Macaca fascicularis: one gene and its partners. The protein of the gene in region 1 purifies or fractionates together with the protein of each later gene. This does not show direct contact. Links are inferred from orthologs where the notes say so. Each region holds a gene or a part of one and is shown on either strand. Other genes may lie near its edges.

Region 1 (5,618 bases):
TGTTGGCTGTTATTTTAATAGCTTCATGTGGAATAAGCACTGTGCTTTGGATATATTATTTTATTGCATTTTTATCCTCTTAGCATTCTTGTCAGATGTAGGCCTTGGTAGCCTTATTTTACAGATTAGACAGTTAAAGCTTAGAGAGGTCAACTGACCTGCCTAATGCCACACAACTTGACAAAAGCCAGGATTCAAACTCAGGTCAGTCTGATTCTAAAGCCTGGGACTTCAACCAATAAGATCCACCCCCTCCAGGCTGGTTAATATTCTGTGAGTTTCCTGGAAACAGTGCATTTTTATATTAGATTGTAGCACATTCTGTTTTCCCTTTTGGGTTTAACTGTGGCTGAGAATAGTTTTCTATTCTGTAAATTATATATTTTACACACTTTCAAAATGCGATCTACTTACCTATGGCCTTGTTTAGTAGAATACGATTTTACTTATGTGTTATTTTTTTCCCTCAGAAATCCGAGCTGTTCCACTTGTTAACAGAGACCGAGGAAGATTTGAAGACTTGAAAGTTCACTTTTTGACAGATCCTGAAAATGAGATGAAGGAGAAGCTCTTAAAAGAGTACTTAATGGTGATAGAAATCCCTGTCCAAGGCTGGGACCATGGCACAACTCATCTCATCAATGCCGCAAAGTAAGCAGTTTATGTTCAGCTCTCTCCTGTGTCATCTGTAACTGTCTTTAACCTCAGCCGCCTGAGTTGCTGCCACCCTGAAGCTCAACAGTAGAGTGATTTGTGGCCAGTTTCTGCCAGTGGGAAACAAATTCAGAGCCTTGTGCATGGTTAGAGAGGATTCTGTAAGGCCGTACTAACTTGGGTTTCAAATCGAAATAAGTCATTTATCCATATTGAGTTTCCTAGATATCTGGATCCCAAAAGCCAGAATTGCAGAATTATGGGTTTTCAAAGTGCATTTACATCAAGGATAGTTGTTGTTTTTTGTTTTTGTATTTTAATTACTCTGGTACGTATTAAAAAGACTAGCAAGTGAAAACACTTGGAAACAAAAAGCTTTCTCTCTTGGCTTCTTGGTAAGAACAGGCACATCAGACATAGCTGGGGCTGTAGAATTGTTCCTGTTGCAGCTCATGATTCTGCCACATGGAATGGGAGGAAAGCCCCAGAATGCCCATTGTGCAGGTATCTGGTCTTTAAACGTTGGCTTTATGTTAAAGAGATGCCTGTTTCTGAGCACTTGAGACGCACAAGAGATGACAAGGAGGCCGTAAGAGAATCTGTCTCTCAACGTGGAGATTAGCAAATTACAGAGTCAACAGTAAATAGGCAAGTGCCTTTGAGTGTGTCTGCATCTTAGTTACTCATGGCTGCTAATGCTGGTGGAGACCAGACACAAGTTTAAAGTTAGTAATAGCAAAATACCCAACCTGAGGTTCCAAAGTAGTTTGTGCTATAAAGTAGACTAGTCCCAAACGAATGGCCTGAGTGATGTTTTACTCAAAACTTGATCTCTGAGAAATTAAAGAGTCAGCTGATATTTTTTTTTTTTTTTTTTTTTTTTAGCCCTTGTTTTAAAACTATCTATAATTTTTGGATGGACCAAGATTGATTAAATGAAACTGTGATTTTAAAAATAAGGAAGTCTTAGCAAACTAACTGACATCATTCTTGACTCTAGAACGTGTTGGGAAATGTGTCAGATCATGTTACATGAAAAGTGTGAGCTCTTCATCACAGGCCTGCGTTTCAGTTAATGGTTCTGCAATTCTTGCCATAATCCATATTCTAAAACTTTGTTCTGTAGGCTAATGATGTAAAATCTTGTGTGTGATTTTGTGTAGTCTCATACATATTTTTTCTTTTTGGTCTTCAGGTTGGATGAAGCTAACTTACCAAAAGAAATCAATCTGGTAGATGATTACTTTGAGCTTGTTCAGCATGAGTACAAGAAATGGCAGGAAAACAGCGAGCAGGGGAGGAGCGAGATGCATGCCCAGAATCCCATGGAATCTTCCCTGCCCCAGCTTTCTCTCATGGATGTAAAATGTGAAACGCCCAACTGTCCCTTCTTCATGTCTGTGAACACCCAGCCTTTATGCCATGAGTGCTCAGAGAGGCGGCAAAAGAATCAAAACAAACTCCCAAAGCTGAACTCCAAGCCGGGCCCCGAGGGGCTCCCTGGCATGGCGCTCGGGGCCTCTCGGGGAGAAGCCTATGAGCCCTTGGCGTGGAACCCCGAGGAGCCCACTGGGGGGCCTCATTCTGCTCCACCGACAGCACCCAGCCCTTTTCTGTTCAGTGAGACCACTGCCATGAAGTGCAGGAGCCCCGGCTGCCCCTTCACACTGAATGTGCAGCACAACGGATTTTGTGAACGTTGCCACAACGCCCGGCAACTTCACGCCAGCCACGCCGCAGACCACACAAGGCACTTGGATCCCGGGAAGTGCCAAGCCTGCCTCCAGGATGTCACCAGGACATTTAATGGGATCTGCAGTACTTGCTTCAAAAGGACTACAGCAGAGGCCTCCTCCAGCCTCAGCACCAGCCTCCCTCCCTCCTGTCACCAGCGTTCCAAGTCAGATCCCTCACAGCTCGTCCGGAGCCCCTCCCCGCATTCTTGCCACAGAGCTGGAAATGACGCCCCCGCTGGCTGCCTGTCTCAAGCTGCACGGACTCCGGGGGACAGGACGGGGACCAGCAAGTGCAGAAAAGCTGGCTGCATGTATTTTGGGACTCCAGAAAACAAGGGCTTTTGCACACTGTGTTTCATCGAGTACAGAGAAAACAAACGTGAGTGAAATGGTTGACTTCCTAACATAGCAGCTACTGTCCAGAAGAGGTTTTGTTCCTGACCTTTAAGGAAAAAATCCCGTGTGGGCAGTCAGGCAGAGTGGTCAGGACCTACCGTGCTTTTCTACTGGCTTGTGCATGGGACAGCCACGGTGGCCCTGCCAGCTGCCCATGGAGGCAAAAGGCACTGCGTGGTTGTAGCAGCTCCTAATATCACATTCCAAAAACCAGAGTGCCCTGTAGACAGAGCTCATGGGATTTTCTTTTACTAGACTGTTCAGGTCTGGCGTATCTAAGACAGTCTTAAACTAGACTTCTTTTGCAACTTAGATATAATAGAACAATCTTAAAATCTGAAGAGTAGTAACTGGAGAGAAGGAAGTCTCTCTTGACACTGTAAGGAAACAGATGTGGTTTTGGAAATCTCTCGTTTGAAAGAAGGGTGACCAGGTAATGCCTGCTCTTTGCCCTGTTCCTGTGACCAATCGGTGCTTCAAGTTCAAAATGAGAGATTGGTAAAGCCAAAGATGTTTCCATAATAGTGTTGTTATTATTTCTTTTGCTGAATTTATATACTTAAATATGTACATATATATATTTCTATATATTTAAGGCTGGCCTAATCTGTATTTGGAACCCATTTATTTCTCTAATGTCAGCATCTCTGTATCTGTGGGGTGACCCCTATGTGGTACTAACTAGCATCCACTCTCGTGTAGATTTGGTCGCTGCCTCAGGGAAAGCCAGTCCCACAGCCTCCAGGTTCCAGAACACCATTCCGTGCCTGGGGAGGGAGTGCGGCACCCTTGGAAGCACCATGTTTGAAGGATACTGCCAGAAGTGTTTCATTGAAGCTCAGAATCAGAGATTTCATGAGGCCAAAAGGACAGAAGAGCAACTGGTGAGACATTTTGAGGAGTTTTCCCTCCCTCCCGTGTGTCCGGTGCTTTTTACTGGAGCGTTGGCTTCCGACAGTGACAAGCAGGCTTTCGTCTCTGCCAGGTTCTGTCCCCTCATGATAAAGGATTAGTTCAGAACCTGAAGGGGAATGTCCATGTCACTGTGGCTCCCCAGGTCCGAAATGCTGCCACCGATTTTCATGCTCCAAGAATACTTTTGAATTTATTTTAAAAACAAAGAAACACAGCCATTGCATAAAACTTCTTCCAGCCCCCAGAAAGCCAGACCGTGATCAGAGCCTTCTTTGATTTGTAAGAGAAGCACAGACATCTAAAAAGCAGCCCTTCTTAAATAATCGTTTATCACAAGGAGCGAACAGACCGAGCTTGCCGGGGGCCTGCGCTTAATGGTACATCAGAAAAGCCAGCTTTGACAGATACAGGTGTGTCGCCTGTTGTTCACATAATGGTAGAGAAGCTATCTAAGAGCAGTGGTTATTGGTCCCAACAGAAGAGAGCCAGGGAAAGTTTGCAGACCAACTTAGGCTTGACGGTTTTCCTCAGCCTCCCTGGGGGCCAAGTCAGCTTTCCTTGAGATTGGAAGGAAACATCCTTCAAGAGCTCTGGCTCATAGACTGCGGTGCTCTCCTGTTCCCTTGCTCAGGCAGGTAAAGCTCTTTGTAGACTCCACACTATCCAATGAGATTTCACTGTGCTGTCCCTAAGAAATGTGAGCAATAGTTTCCTGACTTTTTAATGATCCGTCTGTTCTTTCCACTCAGAGATCGAGCCAGCGCAGAGATGTGCCTCGAACCACACAGAGCACCTCAAGGCCCAAGTGCGCCCGGGCCTCCTGCAAGAACATCCTGGCCTGCCGCAGCGAGGAGCTCTGCATGGAGTGCCAGCATCCCAACCCGAGGATGGGCCCCGGGGCCCACCGGGGTGAGCCTGCCCCCGAAGACCCCCCCAAGCAGCGCTGCCGGGCCCCCGCCTGTGATCACTTTGGCAATGCCAAGTGCAACGGCTACTGCAACGAGTGCTTTCAGTTCAAGCAGATGTATGGCTAACCGGAAACAGGCGGGTCACCTCCTGCAAGAAGTGGGGCCTCGAGCTGTCAGTCATCATGGTGCTATCCTCTGAACCCTCAGCTGCCACTGCAACAGCGGGCTCAAGGGTGTCTGAGCAGGAGAGGAAAGATAAGCTCTTTGTGGTGCCCACGATGCTCAGGTTTGGTAACCAGGGAGTGTTCCCAGGTGGCCTTAGAAAGCAAAGCTTGTAACTGGCAAGGGATGATGTCAGATTCAGCCCAAGGTTCCTCCTCTCCTACCAAGCAAGAGGCCAGGAACTTCTTTGGACTTGGAAGGTGTGCGGGGACTGGCCGAGGCGCCTGCACCCTGCCCGTCAGGACTGCTTCATCATCTTGGCTGAGAAGGGAAAAGACACGCAGTTGGGTGGGTTGGAGAAGCCAGAGCCAGTCTACCTCCCCTCCCGTAGCATCTCTCAGAGATGTGAAGCCAGATCCTCATGGCAGCGAGGCCCTCTGCAAGAAGCTCAAGGAAGCTCAGGGAAAATGGACGTATTCAGAGAGTGTTTGTAGTTCATGGTTTTTTCCCTACCTGCCCGGGTGCTTTCCTGAGGACCCGGCAGAAATGCAGAACCATCCATGGACTGTGATTCTGAGGCTGCTGAGACTGAACACGTTCACGTTGACAGAAAAACAAGCTGCTCTTTACAATATGCACCTTTTAAAAGAATATTTTAGTGGGAAGACGTGTAACTCTTTGGGTTATTACTGTCTTTACTTCTAAAGAAGTAAGCTTGAACTGAGGAGTAAAAGTGTGTACATTTATAGTATACCCTTACATTATGTATGAGGGATTTTTTTTTTTTAAATTATATTGAAATGCTGCCCTAGAAGTATAATAGGAAGGCTAAATAATAATAACCTGT
Region 2 (6,074 bases), on another chromosome or scaffold:
ATTTTTAGTAGAGATAGGGCTTCACCATATTAACCAGGCTGGTCTCAAACTCCTGACCTCAAGTTATCCACCCACCTCAGCCTCCCAAAGTGCTGTGATTACAGGTGTGAGCCACCACGCCCGGCCCTGGCTTCAGTTCTCATAATAAGCCTTTGAGGAAGATACCATCATCATCTCTATTTAACAGCTAAAAACACAGACTCAAAGAATTTAAGTGACTTGTCCAAGATAACACAGCAAAGGCAAGACTGGAACCCAGGTCTCTCAATCCCATGTTCAGAGCTCTTTTTCTAATATAAGACTCACTGATAAGTTCCCTCTGCAGCAGTAATCAGCACAGGCCTCATGATACTAGAACAGAGAGAACTGGCACTTTCTAAATTGGTATCATTTGTATCACACTGATTTTAAGACACCTATTTTTCCATATTTTAACATCTCTGAAAAGAGATGTCTTTTTTTTCCGAGACAGAGTCTCACTTCATTGCCAAGGCTAGAGTGCAGTGGTGTGATCAGGACTCACTGCAGCCTTGATCTCTTGGGCTCAAGCAATTCTCCCGCCTCAGCCTCTCAAATAGCTGGGACCACAGGCATGTGACACGAGGCCCAGCTAATTTTTTTATTTTTTGTAGAGATGGGGTCCCACATGCTGCCCAGGCTGGTCTCAAACTCCTGAGCTCAAGCAATCCTTCTGCCTTGGCCTCCCAAAGTTTTGGGATTACAGGCATAAGAATCCGGCTGAGATGTCTTATAATTATTGATAAGAAGAAGGTACAAAGTCAGCCGGGCACAGTGGCTCATGCCTGTAATCCCAGCACTTTGGGAGGCCGAGGCGGGTGGATCACGAGGTCAAGAGATCGAGACCGTCCTGGCCAACACGGTGAAATCCCATCTCTACTGAAAATACAAAAATTAGCTGGGCATAATGGCACATGCCTATAGTCCCAGGTACTCGGGAGGCTGAGGCAGGAGAATCACTTGAACCCAGGAGGCAGAGGATGCAGTGAGCCAAAATCGTACCACTGAACTCCAGCCTGGTGACTGAGCAAGACCCAGACTCAAAAAAAAAAAAAAAAGAAAAAAAGAGGTACCAAGTCACAGTTTAAGTGGCATATTTGCATTCTTAGTCATACATAAAATAACGTATAGAATAATGGTGTGGCAATCCATATATGTTTGCTTTAAAAAAAATGCAATAAAGTAACTATTGATTCATACTGAGCATAAAAAATTCACTGGAGACCGGGCACGGTAGTTCATGCTTGTAATCCTAGCACTTTGGGAGGCCAAGGCAGGTGGATCACCTGAGGTTGGGAATTCGAGACCAGCCTGGTCAACATGGAAAAACCCTGTTTCTATGACAAAAATTAGCTAGGCGTGGTGGTACACGCCTGTAGTCCTAGCTATTCGGGAGGCTAAGGTGGGAGAATCGCTTGAACCCGAGAGGCAGAGGTTGCGATGAGCTGAGATTGTGCAACTGCACTTCAGCCTGGGCAATCCAGCTCAAAAAAAAAAAAAAAATTCATTTGAGACCAAAACAAAAACTGATGCTTGCTCCATAGCAAGGGCCTGTGGCTGCCCCTTAGGCCAGGTGATTCTCTATGTAGACGTGCTTTCCTAGTGTTGGGAATGGACCCATCTCCTCACCCTGTACCACTGAGGCTTCTGCATCTCCTTCGGCTCACGCTGGGTGGTGAGAATCAAACAGGCACGAAGGGCGGCCACAGCTCCCTCACGGATGGCTTGTTTGGGGTCCCACACAGCCACAAAAATGTTGTCAAAGAAGGGCTGCACTTGCTGGAAGAAGAAGGTAGGGACGCTGATGGCCAGCTCACGGAGAACCAGGACCTAGAGAAAAAGACAAACCGAGAACTCTCGTCGGTACCAGTGCTTTGTTCTCTCAGGAGTACGGTCTTTTATCATCTTAGAGCCATACACACTAGGAACAGAGAAGGCTTGCTCACTCTTCCAGCTAGGAAATTCTGGGGACAGAGGAAGAAAGTAAATTTGATTAAACATCTCAGTGGTCATTATCCTAAGTTGTTTACAAACACAGAATGCTTGTAATGTTTGAATATAAGCTCTGGAAGTGCAGATGTGTTTTATGCTTTCTATATCACTATACTAATAGCATAGAACTCTACCTGGAATACTGTAGGTATGTAGTAAACAATTATTGAATGGATAATCCTGTTTAATGTTTAATCTTGTTGTTATTTTTATTTGACAGAGGAAGAAACTGAAGGTCAGAAGCTGCCCCAGGTTACAGAGTTAGGTAGGAAGTTGTAAAGCCAAGACTTGAGCCAGGGTCCAAGTGTGTGTCCTTCTCCTGGTACCATGCCCCCCCCTCACAGTAGTGCCTCCTCTGAAGGGCAGCAGACTGGAAAGCATGCGGCTGATGCTTCTGATCCCTACCACACCACTGCTAGATTCTCTCTTAAGGACGGACTCTACCCCATCTCACAGCCTGGAATCCTAGCCCTTCTAACCAGCCTTTTTCAGGGATGAGCCTCAGAAGGAAGCAAAAGACCCCACCATGACACCATCGCTCCCCAAGCCTGGCTGTGCTCCTCCCTGCAGGCACTCACAGCTGCGTGTCTCCGGCCCTCATTGCGGTCAGCACCCAGCCATTCCAGGGCTCGCTTCACCTCAAATTCCACATACTCAGCGGTGAAAGTGTCTCCTGCCATGGCAAGGCGGCCGATGGCCTTGGATGCCATTTCCATGACAACTGGGTCATTGGAGGGGAGGAGGTTCCGAAGATAGTTGGCAAATCTGCCAATTCGGGTGGCATTCCCACCTTCCACTCCTATGAGGCTGGCTGGAAAAGAGAGGAAGGCAAAAGGTGATGATGGGGCATAGGCTGACCAGGAAAGTACACAGACTTCAACTAAAAGCTGGCAAGTGCTGGCCAGGCGCAGTGGCTCAAGCCTGTAATCCTAGCACTTTGGGAGGCCAAGGTGGGCGGATTGCCTGAGCTCAGGAGTTCGAGACCAGCCTGGGCAATATGGTGAAACCCCTTCTCCACTAAAATACAACAACAACAACAAAAAATTAGTCGGGTGTGGCGGCATGCGCCTGTAGTCCCAGCTACTTGGGAAGCTGAGGCAAGAGAATTGCTTGAACCCGGGAGGCGGAGGTTGCAGTGAGCCGACATTGCGCCATTGCACTCCAGCCTGGGTGACAGAGCAAGACTCTGTCTCAGGAAAAAAAAAAAGAAAAAAAAGCTGGCAAGTGATCCCTCCATTCTACTTTGAGTACACTTCTAGAGGGCAAGGACACAATTTTTATTTTAACCCAGATATTTAATACTTATGCCAGAAATATTTACATACAGCAAAATAATCTTATGCTAGTATAATTTTCCTCCCTAGTCCCCCAAAAAGGGAAAGCAAGTGAGACTGGATAATAATTCACAGGACTGATGACCAGTCCTTAGAAGTTAAAAATGACCTGCCTGGCCAGGTGTGGTGGCTCACACCTGTAATCCCAGCACTCTGGGAGGCTGAGGTGGGCAGATCACTCGAGGTCAGGAGTTCGAGACCAGCCTGCCTAACATGGTGAAACCCTGTCTCTACTAAAAGTACAAACACTAGCCGGGCATGGTGGCAGGTGCCTGTAATCCCAGCTACTCGGGAGGCTGAGGCACGAGAATCGTTTGAACCCAGGAGGCGGAGGTTGCCACGAGCCAAGATTGCACCACTGCACTCCAGCCTGGGCAACAGAGTAAGATTCCATCTCAAAAAAAAAGAGACCTGCTTTTTATTAACTATACCGATTCCACTTTTCCATTCGTGAGCCCCACTATGCAAAACCCTGCTCTACTGAGGAACCAGAGCCCACAAAACGCAACATGAAGGAGGGAAAAGAAAGCTGGCTTCCAGTCTCAGCTCTGGTAAACTGTCTGAAAAGTCACTCAATGGTTCTGAGACTCCACCTCCACATCTAAAAATACGTTTTTCCTGTAGCCCAGGACTGCTGCTAGAATTAAAAGCCACAGGCTTCTTAAATTTCATTAAGCAAATATGAACTAGCATCCAGTAAGTGGCAGACACAGGGTGCAATGGGCACAAAGGTGAGTGTGTTGTTTTTGTGGCCAGAGACTCTGTCCTTACCTATGGCCAAGATGCCACCTTTCCTCTCATTGGCATCTGAGCTGGAAACCAATTCAAAAATGTGATGGTTCAGCTGGTCATAGAAGCGAGTAGACTCCTCTTGACTCATCTGCAAAAGAAGATATAATCAGAACAATTTCTAGTAATTCTCTGACTGTGGTGGTGGGAGTGGGCTGGCATCTAAAGATTAGATCCTGAGAGGCAGGCAGTATAGTTCAAACCAAAGAAGACAAGCTACTGCCCACTTCTACAGGATTACACTGTAGAGCACCTGAACTTGCAATCCTCTGATTATTTAACAAATATTTATTGGGTATCTACTCTGTGGCAGAAAATGTTCTGTCCTAGGTTCTTTCTAGTACCAGGGATACAAGGATAAACAAGATACTGTCTCTGACCTCAAGTCTGGTCTCTATTTAGAAAGTCCCTAGTTCTCAACTCTCCAAACCCATCCCAATCACTGTTATCAGACAGAAAGCATTTGAGGGTGTGGTATGTGGTAAGGAAAAAAGAAAAAGCTAAAAGAAACAGCTAAGTCTATTCTGGCCCCTAAAATGTGACCACAAACAAGAAAAATGCCACAGAAATGTGCAACTGCTGCAAAAGAACCTGCATGTTTTATGGATGTGAGAGGTTGAGTGCCTTTCTAAAATAATCTCTGTTTTCCAAATCCTCGCTTAGCTGTCCAAAAAAAGTCTAAACCAGTGATGATACATTTAGCCCAAACATCCCACAATGACTGGCCCCAAATCGCAGAAGCACCTCTCGGAGTTCCATGGTGACATAGTGCTGGAGCTCCTTGGCAGCTTTGGCCCTGGTCTCTTCATTCCGGCTCTTCAGGCCACTGGCAAACTGCTGTAGAACACTCACATTGCTAGATGTGGTGGCAGCGGTGGTGGCGGCGGCAGGTCCGGTTCCAAGCATCTTGCCCTGAGGTTCTTTAAAGAGAAGTTTCCTTTAATATTCTAAACAAGAAAGTATGGTGATAAATTTACTTATGGCCCTGGTCATCCAACACAGATCTCCCCCAAGCCCTTGTCAGGCAGGGGATTCTAAAAAGGTTGAGAGATCTTATTGAGGAACATTTAGAAAGCCTAGATTCATTAAACAATGACTGATGTTTAAAAGAGGCAGTGTGGTAGGGAGGGTCAAATTGCGGGCTATGGGAGCTAGCCTACTTGGGTTTGAATCCTTGGGTTAGATACCTTGAGCAGTTTTGGAGGCCGAGTCAGGAGGACCACCTGAGGTCAGGAGTTCGAAACCAGCCTGGCCAACATGGTGAAATCCCATCTCTACTAAAAATACAAAACTTAGCTGGGCGTAGTGGCATGTGCCACCCGGGAGGCTGAGGCAGGAGAATCACTTGAACCTGGGACGGGAGGTTGCCCTGAGCCAAGATCCTGCCACTCCACTGTCTCAAACAAAAACAAACGAAAACAAAAACAAGGTTATATACCTTGAGAAAGACACTAAAAATGTTTCTTCAACTACAATAGGAAGATAATAGTACCTAGTTCATGGGTTGATGTGAGGACTAAATGAGTTAATACATGTCAAAAAGTATTTAAAACAGTGCAGGGCATATACTGAGTTCTTAATAATTGTTAGCTATTATTATTACTACTACTACTATGTACACGGCACAGTGCCAGGTAACAAATGTGGGGAGGTAGGGAAAGAATCAAAAATGACTAAGACTGCCCCTTTGCTCAAGTTCAGTCTAAAAAGAGAGATTATTATTCCACAGCAGCATTGTCTAATAGAAATATAGGCCAGGCACAGTGCCTCACGCCTGTAATCCCAGCACTTCGGGAGGCCAAGGCAGGCAGATCACCTGAGGTCAGGAGTTTGAGACCAGCCTGGGGAATATGGTGAAACTCCATCTCTACCAAAAATACAAAATTAGCCAGGCATGGCAGTGCGTGCCTGTAATCCCAGCTACTTGGGAGGTTGAGGCAG
Region 3 (6,074 bases), on another chromosome or scaffold:
TCCCATGGGAGACATCGTGGCCAAGGGGATTCTTTTTGGCACAGGTTCTGGCTTTGGGCTTTGTTGTGTTGGTGTTGGTGGCAGCACTGATGTCTCTGATGGCGTGGACACCTGTGGGGCAGCTACAGAGCCAAGGTTTGGAGTGCAAGTGCCTGCAGAAAGACAGCGGGTCTGGGGTTCAGGATGTTGACTAGCCTGCAGCAGTGGTGCTTCTAGTGCCTCAGATGTGGGTGCACATAGAGCAGCCTTTGAGTTGGGTGTGGAGTGCAGGTGTGCAGAGCAGCCAGAGAGCTGGGATCTGGAAAGTATATGATTTTACATGCAAGTACACGTGGACCACCTGTGGCTCTGGGGTCTGGGGGTGAGGGGCTGCACTGTCTCTGGGCAGTGCAAGAGCTGCTTTTTTTCAGGGTGAGGAGTGCGGTAGTGTCTCCCTCTCCAGGGGGTTCACAGCAGTGCTGGGTGCTGGTTACCTTAATGGTGAAAGCTCTCAGTGTCCTCTGCAGAGTAGGCTACTGCAGTTGGCATCAATGAACACTATAGGGTCCTTCACTGTGAAACCTGCAGGAAGTCTGTGGCTATCCTGAGGGTTATTGGGGTCTCCAGGGACCTGCTCTGGGGAGGAGCCTAGCAGTCTTTGCCACTGAGGACTGTGATGGCACTCACCACATGACTGATACAGATAGCCCTCACCCCTTGTTCTTAGCCGTCTCCAGATGTCTCTGCTAAGCAGATCTCCCAGCAGTCCTTTCTGTGTGGTTATTCTCTCTCTTTTTTTTTTTTTTTTTTCCCTCCTCACTGTATTGCTGTAGGCTGATTGGGCTATTGAGTTCTTCCAGAGCTGTATTTGTTTGTGGATAGCTGTCTCTTTATTGTTTTTTGTGGGTGGAAGAAGGCTGGTGTCTCCTAGTCTGCCGTCTTGCTGATGTCACTCTTGCAAACTTTCTTCGAGTGTTGTGGCTTTTCATTTTTTAACATCTTTTGAAGAGCAGATATTTTCAATGTTGATGATGTCAGTTTATCAATTTTATCTTTTGTAGAAGATGTTTTTGGTCTTTTGTCTAATAATTCTTTACCTAATGTAAAGACAAAAGTATTTTTCTCCTGTACTTTTTCCTAGAAGTTTTATTATTTTAGGTTTTATATTTAGGTATATGATCTATTTTTACTTTTATTTTTGCTATTTTTGCATATAATATGGGCATAGGTCAGAGTTTTTTGTTTTTTAAATACGTATATCCTGTTGTAGAGTATCATTTGTTGAAGAAACAAAAGGAGTAGAATGGATATAGATGGTATGTGAACTTCTTGGAACATCTTCAAGAAGCCCTATCAGTTTAAAAACAAATACTTGAGAAACACTGTCACATTATATATAGATAAAAATATTTGATTCCATATTTTTTGGAGGGAAGGTAGTGGATTGTGGCTCAAATGTAATGGAAGAGTGAACATTGAAGAAAGATGAGCAGTTATATTGTGAAAGATCATGTTGTAGGAATACTAAGTTAATAGTATCTGAAACTGTTAAGTAGTTCACTTTAAGCACAAAATAAATTGTGTATAATAGTGTTTTTTGGGAGTCAACTTGTTCCCCTTTGTAGGTGCAGACGCTTTTCTTTTTGTTGTTGTTGTGTTAATGGATTGAATTAGAAAATACCATGATATATTGGCCGGGCGCGGTGGCTCAAGCCTGTAATCCCAGCACTTTGGAGGCCGAGACGGGCGGATCACGAGGTCAGGAGATCGAGACCATCCTGGCTAACACGGTGAAACCCCGTCTCTACTAAAAAAATACAAAAAACTAGCCGGGCGAGGTGGCGGGCGCCTGTAGTCCCAGCTACTCGGGAGGCTGAGGCAGGAGAATGGTCTAAACCCGAGAGGCAGAGCTTGCAGTGAGCTGAGATCCGGCCACTGCACCCCAGCCTGGGTGACAGAGCAAGACTCTGTCTCAAAAAAAAAAAAAAAAAAAAAAAAAAAAAAAAAAAAAAGAAAATACCATGATATATAACACACAGTAAGATGTATATTGTTTTATGATAATTTTGTTCCCGTTAGATATGTATGTGTTCTGGGTTGTGATGTAAAATGTTTTTACTGTGGGGTACAATGAAAGATTTGAAAGCCATTTTTTCTAGAATGGTCAGGTTATATTGATATGGAACAATTTTAAAAAATAATTTTCCTCATATGTTTTAGGTGTGAGTTCTTGATACGAATGAAAGGTCAAGAGTTTGTTGATGAGATTCAAGGTAGATATCCTCATCTTCTTGAACAGGTAAATATATTTTTAAAATCAACAACTTTGAATTCTGCTTTATAATAAAAATACTATTAGATTGGTGCAAAAGTAATCATGGTTTTTGCCATTGAAAATCATGACCAAAACCGTGACCACTTTTGTACCAACCTGTATTAGAAGTTATACTTATTTCTCTTTTATTAATTGTAGGTACATATTTTCATTGATGTTAATGACAACTTTGATTTTTACTTTTGTAATCAACTTGATTGTTTAGGGCTTTTTAAAAAGATTGTTGTTTGTTTTTACTATTTTGAAAAATCATTTATGCTGCCACTGTACAAATTTGTGATGGGATTAGAGAAGGAGGTTTAGTGTCTCTTTGCTGTTTTCCAGAAAAACAAACAAAAAATAACTTGTTAGGCTCTGAGACCCTTTGAGAGTAACCCAGTTAAAATCTTATTTTCCTAATGGAATGAGAAACCACTGATACATTTTTCTACTTTCCTGAAACTAGAGAAATACTTGAATTCTAATTTGGGATAACATGAAATTTAAGGAAATCTATGTGATTAGGGTGAAAGAAAGCAAAGTAAAGCTCATAAATCACTCAGTTCTCAATAGAATATATACATATACTTAACATAAACTTACTTTAGTGTTGTTCCTTTCAGATTGTTGGGGATATCTGATTTTACCTATTAACTTTTCTCTTGTTTCATAGCTGTTGTCAACTTCGGATACTACTGGAGACGAAAATGCTGACCCACCAAGTATGTATGAAATAATTTTAAGTATAGAGTGTAAATTTTTATAAGAATTTTAGGAATAGGCTGGGTGCAGTGGCTCATGCCTGTAATCCTAACACTTTGAGAGGCCGAGGTTGGCAGATCACCTGAGGTCAGGAGTTCGAGACCAGCCTGGCCAACATAGTAAACCCCGTCTCTACTAAAAATACAAAAATTAGCCAGGCGTGATGCGCCTGTAGTCTCAGCTACTCGGGAGGCTGAGGCAGGAGAATTGCTTGAACCCAGGAGGCGGAGGTTGCAGTGAACTGAGATTGTGCCATTGCACTTCAGCCTGGGCGACAGAGTGAGACTCGGTCTCCAAAAAAAAACAAATGTAGGAATGAAAGTATGTACTTTTTAAAAGAGTTTCTGAAGCCATAGGGAAAAATACTGGGAAGTCAGCTAATAAATATTTTATATATATATATATATATGCTTACACACTAGTTTTTGTTCTAGTGCTATACTTACCACTTTTAGTGCTGACATTCCAACTGGAGAAATGAGACATAAGCAAAAGAAAAACAACAGATAGCTTGAAGCAATGCCAAATAAGCGGTGCAAATAATAAGCCCCCCAGATAATAAGCCCCCCAGAAAAGAAAAGGTTGCTGTGAGCTAGCATGATTTGGAAAAGCAGTTCACATATGATTTACGAATTGGACTAGATGTTAGGTATTTAAGTCAGGTATGTTGTATTTCAACGCAAGGGCAGGAAATAGTATAGCTTTTGATTAGAGCTTAATGTTAGCCACATCTGCCAGTTTATGTAATATACATATGTTATGGTGTCTAAAATGGCTAAGGTAATAATCCACTGTTTTATGTACCAAGGGCCATTCTGTTTGTGGCACAGCATTTCAAGAAAGATACTGGTAGATTTGTTAACTGGACCAGAGAAAGGTGACCAAGATGTATGAATCTTAGAAACCATGGCTCAGGAGGACTGGATGAAGGATTTGGTAGTATTTGACTGGGAAATAGGAAGGAGAGTACCTGGGTACATGACAGCTATCTCTTGTGTAATGGACCTAGAAAAGATAGATAGCAGTGTGGGCTGTTCTTAAAATTTTTAACCACTGCTGTCAAGTAGGCTCCCCTGAAGTTCTACCGTAGTTCCTAATAAAATCACTTTGTCAATCTTTAAATGACTGTTTCTTGTTTTCTTTCTTGGTAATTTTCTAACACTCTCTTCCCACCTTGTCAGTTTATAACCTTGCTTCCCTAAGAAAATAGAATCCAAAAGAGAGCTGCTTTATTGCCTCACCAGCAAAACCACAAGGCTACATAATTTATCCTTGTACTTTTCTTTCTGTTCGTTCATAAGAGATGAATTGTTCTTTCCTTTTTCTAAGGCCAATACTTCCACTTTTCCTCTGTATTCCATCCCCTGCTGCCAACTTAAGAAGGTTACTTTGGCAGTGACATACCCTTTCTCTCGAGTCTTCAATTTTTCCATCTCTCCTGAATCATTCATGTTAGCATATAAACATAATGTACTTTTGCTAATCCTAGGAAAACTTCCATGAACCAATGTCCCCATTCAGCTATTATCTTATTACTCTGCTTCCCTTTACAACAAAATACCTAGGAAGATTTATCTATGCTTACTCTGTTTTACTTTCTCACCTTTCATTCTTTCTCTTACTTGTTCTGCTGGAACTGTTCTTGTCATGGTAACCAAGGACTGCCATGTTAGCAAATCCACCACTTGACCTGTTAACCAGCATTTGATAATCATTGGGTGCTTTGTCTTTCTTTTTTCTTTTTTTGAAACAAGGTCTCACTTTGTCACCTAGGCTGTAGTGTAGTGGTGCCATCATGGCTCACTGTAGCCTTAACTTCCCTGGCTCAGGTGATCCTCTCACCTCAGCTCCCCGAGTAGCTGGGACTACAGGCATGCACCACCACGTTCAGCTAATTGTGTCTCTGTGTGTGTGTGTGTGTGTGTGTGTTTTGTAGATGCAGGGTTTCACCATGTTGCCCAGGCTGGTCTCAAACTCTTGAACTTAAGCAATCTGCCTGCCTCGGCCTCCCATAGTGCTGGGATTACAGGCATGAGCCACTGCACTTGGCCTCATCTTTCTTAAGACACGTTTTTTGCTTGACTAATCAGATCCCATACCCTTGGTTTTCTGTTTCTCTGGTTGATCCTGAACAATTTCCTTTGTTGGCTGCTCCTTTTTCAAACTTTAAAATGATGGAGTACCCCTCAAAGCTCAGCTTAAGTTTATTTCTCCATTTCCTGAGCCCCAAGCTGGAATGTCCAGCTGAGTGTTTAAATCTCTACTTGGCTGTAACAGACATCGTAGAGTTAATAGGACCAAACCAGAAATTTTCTCCCCCATTCTTCATTCATCAGATTTGTTCCTTCTTTGATCTTCCCCATCTCAGTTAATGGTACTCATTTCTTAGCATTAAAAGTTGGCTCAAGATAGGTATCATCCCTGATTCCTCTCCTTCCTTTAGTTTTTATATTTAATCTATTAAAGTCTTTTCATTTCTGTCTTCATAACATATGCCAAATCTGACTACATCTCACTGTCTCCACCACTATTAACCTAATCCAAACTACCATCATCTGTGTCTAACATCCTAACAAGTCTTCCTGATTCCAGATTACCCCATTAAAGTACATCTCCACAGAAGATACCTTATTAAAAATATGATTTGCAGATACTTAAAAACAGGTTGAAAAAAGACCTGCATCCAACTTTAACATCTTGCTTTTTCAGAACAATTTAAATTTGTTATGTATGAGAAAGAAATGGAATACAGCTCAAGAAAGAGCTTATTATGCTAAAATTCTCTGATTGGCATAAATCAGGGAACCTCAGCCAAAAATAAATATGTAGAAAAAAGCTGCAGTCAGTGGTTCTCAACTAGAAGCAATTGAGAGGGGTAGAAAAGGAGGGTTGGTTTCGAAATTACTGGAGGACTGCTACCAGCACTTAGTGGATGTGAAACAAGCATGTTGTTCTGTAACATGTGAGACAGTCCTAAGAGTTCCATTGAGAAATAATGCAGGTGACTAACATTCCCAAA

What was found.
Region 2: the proteins of TNFAIP3 (region 1) and MTOR purify together in Homo sapiens (affinity purification with western blotting, with the first as the bait; 3 studies listed by BioGRID). This does not show direct contact. The link is inferred for Macaca fascicularis from reciprocal best matches to the Homo sapiens genes TNFAIP3 and MTOR.
Region 3: the proteins of TNFAIP3 (region 1) and BIRC2 purify together in Homo sapiens (affinity purification with mass spectrometry; 5 studies listed by BioGRID and IntAct, with this or other methods). This does not show direct contact. The link is inferred for Macaca fascicularis from reciprocal best matches to the Homo sapiens genes TNFAIP3 and BIRC2.

What each region holds. Positions count from the first base shown.
Region 1 is NC_088378.1:41,916,899-41,922,516, forward strand, and holds part of TNFAIP3 (tumor necrosis factor alpha-induced protein 3), read left to right. Parts: intron 1-470; coding exon 471-651; intron 652-1,849; coding exon 1,850-2,769; intron 2,770-3,488; coding exon 3,489-3,670; intron 3,671-4,450; coding exon 4,451-4,735; 3' UTR 4,736-5,618. UniProt on the Homo sapiens protein: Ubiquitin-editing enzyme that contains both ubiquitin ligase and deubiquitinase activities.
Region 2 is NC_088375.1:223,549,747-223,555,820, reverse strand, and holds part of MTOR (serine/threonine-protein kinase mTOR), read right to left. Parts: intron 5,081-6,074; exon of another isoform or gene 5,054-5,080; 5' UTR 5,040-5,053; coding exon 4,878-5,039; intron 4,225-4,877; coding exon 4,116-4,224; intron 2,822-4,115; coding exon 2,589-2,821; intron 1,849-2,588; coding exon 1,648-1,848; intron 1-1,647. UniProt on the Homo sapiens protein: Serine/threonine protein kinase which is a central regulator of cellular metabolism, growth and survival in response to hormones, growth factors, nutrients, energy and stress signals.
Region 3 is NC_088388.1:101,371,219-101,377,292, forward strand, and holds part of BIRC2 (baculoviral IAP repeat-containing protein 2), read left to right. Parts: intron 1-2,199; coding exon 2,200-2,278; intron 2,279-2,966; coding exon 2,967-3,015; intron 3,016-6,074. UniProt on the Homo sapiens protein: Multi-functional protein which regulates not only caspases and apoptosis, but also modulates inflammatory signaling and immunity, mitogenic kinase signaling, and cell proliferation, as well as cell invasion and metastasis.